2 linked regions of the Xenopus tropicalis genome follow. Each later gene encodes a partner of the first gene's protein in a complex. Links are inferred from orthologs where the notes say so. Each region holds a gene or a part of one and is shown on either strand. Other genes may lie near its edges.

What was found.
Region 2: the proteins of cckar (region 1) and cck are in contact, whole or in part, in a cryo-EM structure (PDB 7MBX), measured with the Homo sapiens proteins. The link is inferred for Xenopus tropicalis from reciprocal best matches to the Homo sapiens genes CCKAR and CCK. Residues at the interface, in NP_000721.1 of Homo sapiens: Cys94, Phe97, Asn98, Pro101, Asn102, Lys105, Asp106, Phe107, Thr118, Met121, Gly122, Val125, Tyr176, Phe185, Asn194, Met195, Cys196, Arg197, Phe198, His210, Leu213, Leu217, Ile329, Phe330, Ala332, Asn333, Arg336, Ala343, Glu344, Leu347; in NP_000720.1 of Homo sapiens: Asp96, Tyr97, Met98, Gly99, Trp100, Met101, Asp102, Phe103.

The regions. Positions count from the first base shown.
Region 1 is NC_030677.2:32,073,943-32,076,755, reverse strand, and holds the end of cckar (cholecystokinin receptor type A), read left to right. Parts: coding exon 1-470; 3' UTR 471-2,313; downstream 2,314-2,813. UniProt on the Homo sapiens protein: Receptor for cholecystokinin. Mediates pancreatic growth and enzyme secretion, smooth muscle contraction of the gall bladder and stomach. Has a 1000-fold higher affinity for CCK rather than for gastrin.
Region 2 is NC_030682.2:54,400,208-54,404,198, forward strand, and holds the start of cck (cholecystokinin B), read right to left. Parts: upstream 2,801-3,991; 5' UTR 2,719-2,800; intron 1-2,718. UniProt on the Homo sapiens protein: This peptide hormone induces gall bladder contraction and the release of pancreatic enzymes in the gut. Its function in the brain is not clear.

The DNA.
Region 1 (2,813 bases):
GGAAGAAGTTAGAAATGCATCAGCTCTCCAGCCACCACAGTGCCAAGATTGAACGAGTAAGGAGCAACAGCTCAGCTGCCAATCTCATGGCCAAGAAGAGAGTCATCCGTATGCTGATCGTCATTGTCATCCTGTTCTTCATCTGCTGGACCCCTGTCTTCAGTGCAAATGCCTGGAGAGCCTTTGACACGGATTCAGCAGATATCAGCCTGTCGGGGGTGCCAATTTCCTTCATCCACTTGCTCTCCTACACCTCTGCCTGCGTCAATCCCATCATATACTGCTTCATGAACAAGCGGTTCCGCATGGGCTTCCTGGCAACGTTCACTTGCTGTTCCAGCAGGGGAGCCCAAGGCAGGAGGATGGTCCCAGGAGTGGCAGATGAAGAGGGGAGGACCACTGGGGCTTCTCTGTCCCGATACACTTACACCAATATCAGTCTTTGTGCCACCGCATCAGCCCCAACATGACACTGAGAGTAAAAGCAAGACACAAAATAAAGGCACGATGGGTTGTTTGTGGAACTAAGTGGCATTACCTGAAAACTGAATTAATTGGTTTAACTATAACTTGGCCTGTGTTAGTACTGTTATCCCCAGTCTCCAGTGGGACAGTCATTGGGATAATCCTGTGCTTTACTAGTCTGTTGTACAAAATGGCTACCAAATGGGCTGTGCCAACCGGATGTAAACATGAATAAGTGGCTGATGGATTTCACAGGTACCTAAAGGAGGGGTCACAGTGGGTGGAGTCATCCTAAGTAACTTTCCAATCTATGTTCATTAGGGATTTTCAGTGTTACTTGTAGTTGCTATTAAAAGCAGTACCTGCCTGTGTGTTTACATTTTCTGCACTGCTGGCTCTGACTCCTGAACCAATGTTGCAAGTCAGCTGATTAACTGCCCTGGAGGAGAACTGACTCATGTTGTACAAGTGAGACCCAGAGAACAGGAAAGGATAAACATACACTGTGTTACAAATTACTTTACGGCCACTGGGCATTTTTAATGAATGTACATTGGAAAGGTGCTTAAAATGTGTATATTCATTAATTCAGCAAACAAAATCATTATTTTGGGAGGAGGACTCCTTTACAAAATTGTATTGTGATATTGGGATTAACTGCATTGTGGAATGTTTGCAGTGTCGGACTGGGGTACCGAGGTCCCACAGGTTCCCAAGCCAAGGGCCCAGTCAATAGCACATTGCACACCCCTGTCTACCCCTTTTGCGCCCCACCACACAGATGCTTACACTGCCAGCGTCAATCAGGCCACACCTCCTGGGACATATTAAACATGCCCGTGCATTTTACAGTGGGAAGCACAGCCATCTTTAATTTAGCTTGAAGCTTCCCAACAGGATTGGGTGGGCCAGTCTACCCTGAATGCTTGTGCATTGTTTTGTGATTAAGTTTGTCTGTGTCCTGGGACTGTACGGTCATGTGAGTTTTGTGTTGTGTCCTGTATCCAGAAAGCTGCTCATTTATCATCAGTGGGCAAAGTTGCGCCTTGGTGGTAACCCACGCAACTACTTAGTGATTTGCCTTTTTTTCCAGCCAGCTGAAGGTAGAACAATAAATGCAAAAACACCTTATTGGTTTCCATTGGTTACTGGTCAGTTGGAAATTTGCCCAGTGTAGATAAATGGAAATTTGCCCAGAGTTGTACCTAGGGCAACCATACCAAACCAACAGCTAATGAATGAAGTGCTCAAACATATATATCTATATCGATTGTACAGTATACTATACACATTAAACAGCATTTCTTAAATGGCTGAAGCGGCCCACAGTGGGCCTAACCCAATGGGATTTTTTAACCTGCCTGATAAATATTTGGCCTGTCCCAAGCCAGACCTACTATTTAGCCCTAGACATAGGCTAAAAAGCTGCTGATATGGTCTGGATTCAGCAGCCAATCCCAGACAGGTTTAGAGTTGGAGAAAAATCTTGGCGTCCAGGCAAATAATGTGTCACGCGCTGTATTTATTGGCCTACTGAAAACAACAAACAGGATATGAAATCTGCCAAAATATCTCTGCACCTGTTTGTGACTTCAACAGTCTTGAGGAGGGAGAGAGACTGCAGTGTGAGAGCTGGACCATATGTCATCTCAGCAGTGAGAGTGATGTGCCGAGCCCGAGTGCAGCAACTCTGGGGAACGAAATATAAACAGAATGGGAAAAAACATACTGAATAATGTTGTTTCTATTAGTTAGCCTTATAAAGGCCCAAAAAGTAAGTGCATAAAGGTGTGGGATCTGTTATCCAGAAAACCGTTATCCAAAAGGGGGAGTTACAGGAAGGCCATCTCTCATAGACTCCATTATAATCAAATAATTCTAATTTTAAACAATGATTTTCTGTTTCTCTGTAATAATAAAACCGTACCTTGTACTTGATCCCAACTAAGATATAATTACCCCTTATTGGGGGCAGAACAGCCCTATTGGGTTTATTTAATGGTTAAATGATTCCCTTTTCTCTGTAATAATAAAACAGTACCTGTACTTGATCCCAACTAAGATATAATTGCCCCTTATTGGGGGCAGAACAGCCCTATTGGGTTTATTTAATGGTTAAATGATTCCCTTTTCTCTGTAATAATAAAACAGTACCTGTACTTGATCCCAACTAAGATATAATTACCCCTTATTGGGGGCAGAACAGCCCTATTGGGTTTATTTAATGGTTAAATGATTCCCTTTTCTCTGTAATAATAAAACAGTACCTGTACTTGATCCCAACTAAGATATAATTACCCCTTATTGGGGGCAGAACAGCCCTATTGGGTTTATTTAATGGTTAAATG
Region 2 (3,991 bases), on another chromosome or scaffold:
GAATTACAAAACCGTGTTAGGAAATAAAAGATGTAATGGATATAAGGAAAACAAGAAAAAGCACCATATAATAAATATTTATAGGGTAAAAAAAATTCATGTAACTACTTGCATGCCAGGGTAATTTAAAGTGCAGCCTTCAGTTTCTGTGATGCATTAAAACAGATGGATTTCTTAAGAATTCCATGAAGACATGGCTGTCAGCTTTTAAAGCTTGCTGACAGAGATGGTCCAAAATGCTTTGGCAGCCAAGGCAATGGTGGCTATCTAACCCCCACTTTGACCATAATACTCCCACTACCCATGGTCCCATCACACCATTACCCCTTTCCAGAAGACATAGGGGCAGATCTATTAAAATGTGAGTTTAGAGGTTAATACATAAAAACTCACCCATGTTCTATTCATTCCTATGGGATTTTTACAACCATATTTATCAATGGATGAAAGTTAGAACTCACCATGTGACAAATACACTTCTAAAAATCCCATAGAAATGAATAGAACGTGGGTGAGTTTTTATGTATTAAGCTCTAAACTGACATTTTGATAAATCTGCCCCTTAGTGTTGGAAACAGACCAGATGCTATCAAACCCGATTATTTCCCAAAAAATGATGTGCCCTAGGCAGATGCCTTTAATGCCTACGTCTAGTTTCAGCCCTACTTATTCATACTTAAAAAGGGCTGTATCATCATATTAGTTTGTGTTTATACAAACAGACTAATGTAGAGTTGTAGAATATATATATATATATATATATATCACACAGTACTATCTGTCCCACTCAGGACTAAGCCATTTCAGAAGCCTGAAAGTATTATGTCACATTTGGGGTCTGTGATGCAACTACTGTCTAATTTGAATGGTTAGCCCAAATATTTTTGGTTTCAGATTTGTAATATTGGGTACCAGCCGCCAAGCACCAACAATCCTAAAATGTTAAATTCTTTTAAACTGTTTTGCTTCTCCTAAACTAATAATTCTAGGGTTTTGTACCCTACAGTGGCAACCCTAACACAAAAGAATGGCTAGACCAAGAAAAAACACAATATTCGGTACTACATATATTGATGAACTTTAGCTGATCTCCAACTGGTCAACAATGAATAGTTTCCCAAAATCTACAGTACCACGGCTTCCCTATTCCAACTTTTAACCTCTGCACATTTTAACACATCTGTATTAAATGTCTCACGAAAAAGCATTAAAAGCCTACTGACATCAACAGTGGCTAATTACTTTACTCAAGTGAACACACACATATTTAAGGAACAAATAACATGAATGACATGATATATGAATGATGTCCTTTTTAAGGAGAATAGCTTCCCAAAGATATTCTTAGTATTCTGCAACTGCACCCCTATTAGCCATAGATGACAGTTTTTCCTTTTTTGTCAGTATAGAAGCGATAAGGAAGCTATCTTTTATAAGCAGATATGGAAAGCAAAATCTTCCTTATAAGCCAGCATATTTATCTTTAAAATATGCTAAATATGACCATGAATAGACAAGGATCTGAAAGAAAGGGAGACCAATGCATGATAATGTGCTGGATCCCTTCCTGCTTCTGACTTTCCTTGTCCTAATAATGCAGAAATCAAGATTTTCTGATCCAAGGACTGACAGATCTGCAATGCATGTCAAATATAAGTGAAATCATTACAACTAATGTAGTCTCAACATAATGAAGTTAATATAGTAAATGACTGGCAAAAAGGTATTTCTCAGTCTGGTTACACCCTTCCCAGATGTTCCATATCGATTTGCCTTTACAAAAAAAACTATATATTTTTTTTTTTTTTAAAAAGTCTGCTGTTCGTACGTTCCCGTTGTTTCAGCCCCAAGGCTTTCTGCATTACCCGTATTAATCAAACAGCAGCGCAGCGCAGGAATCTAGGATATCCTTCCGCCTTGCACTTCCTTACCTTTCTCTGCTCAGCAGATCGCCTTCCTGGATGTTGAGCCCCTAAGAGAGATAGCCTAAATCCTTTCTCCAAACATTATCATTTACACTGCTGGGCCAGATCTATAATGTTGACACTGGTCGCAGCCCTTTCCTGATGTATAATCCGTTTAAAACCGATTCCATCTGTTAAATTCAATCCCTTACTACACGTCCATGAGCATGGCTGCACATCGATCAGCATTATCACATGTAGGTATCTCTTATCAGCCCATTAGTATTACATGATAATTATGGTTTTGTTAGCCGTCCGGCCCAGGGCAGCTCAGTAAGAACAAACACCTTTGACCTGTAGTATTTTTTATATGTCGCTCAATTATTGCATAGTTAAGGAAAAGCCTGGCATTAACCCCATAAGTTAGAAAAGTATGACGATCAAGTACATAGTATTGAAGGGTCACAGCGAGCGATCGGCGAGCGGCAGTCGGAACAATGCGCCGCATTAAGGAACTGTCTGTGGTGCTGATTCCTGCGCTCAAATCGCGCAATAGTACGGCTACTTTACTCTCCTGCTGACTAGAAACACATACAGCAAATAAATATCTGCCTTACCTAGGCTCTGACCTGTTCCTATAAGTAATTGAATTAATGCATAGTCAAACAAAGCCTGCCATTTATGCCATGATCGTAGAACACTTATACTGAACTGAACACGTTAAGATTAGGAACTTTCATAGTGCTGATCCTGGTGTTTCCAAATTCTCAGCATTCAATGCAGTAGTTAGGCTAAGGAATAAAACATTTCTTACCTAGGTCCTTCCCAAGATGTAAAAGATCTGATAAAATGTTGCTTGTTATCAAATCCCACTCTGAAATTTGCAGCTTTACAAAGGCCTATTTATAGGGGTCTTAACAATGAGCTAGAATGACGTGTGGTTTAGAGGGGGGTATAAGCTCCCACCTGAACTTTAAAGAAAGAAATGCGTCAGGCTGTCTCAAGCACCCAGAAACACAAAGGATGATGGCTAGCTGATAGTTATGTTTTCATAATGAGATCTGGATTTATGTGGTGAATCCTTAAAACATGAGCTATTAATTAGTTAATGATAGCATCACGGGAAGTGCTATTTATTTGCATATAGGCATTTTTATCTCGTTTTGCATAAATTATGTGAATTGATGCGAGGCTGCAATGTTTGGAATGATTCTTATGTTCTTAATTCATAATAATGTAATGAGTGTATGCTTTTAAATCAAGGATCCATTTACTCTCCTTTCCCTGATTTATTTAAATATTTACTGATAACTAGAAAGGGAAGTTTGAGAACAAACTTCATGTTGGGTTGAAAAATGTGAAGTTACTGAATGAAATCTGATCTGTTGTTGGCTCGCCCCACTTTTTCTAACCACAGTTATATAGTAATAACCACTGTGCAAAGTTTGGGGACCTTGGTTTTAATAGTGTCTGAATAGCAGCAATTTATTTTTCCCCACTGAAAGTCAACGAGTGACATCTGATTGGCGGTTGGTGGCTCCACTTTCTCTAACCTGGACATGCTGTTACCCAGTGACTAACTCTGCAAAGTTTAGGGACTCTAGTATTAATAGTTAAAGAACGGCAGCTGTTTACATTTAAACCAATAAAAGTCAATAGGCAAATTGTGATTGGTGGTTGGTGGCTCCGCCCACTTTTTCTAATCTTGAGTCGACGTCACCCAGTGACAAACAGTGGGCACTCTGGCATAAATAGTGTGAGAATGACAGCATTTTAAATTTAAACCAATAAAATTCAATGAATGAAATCTGATTGGCTGTTAATGGCCCAACCCCTATTTTTTAACTGCAGTCCTCCAGTGACCAACTTTGCAAAGTTTGGGGACAAAGTTTTGGGGCGTAAAAATTGTGGGAAAAAAGAGTTAATGCTGTTATATGAGATTTGAACAATGAACTAAGTATAAAATACTGAGATTTGAACAATGAACTAAGTATAAAATACTGGTCAGGGTCTTTGAGATAACAGCAACATGGTACATATATTGTTTTTATAAATCAGATGGTTTTAATAATTATTTATTGCTTAAT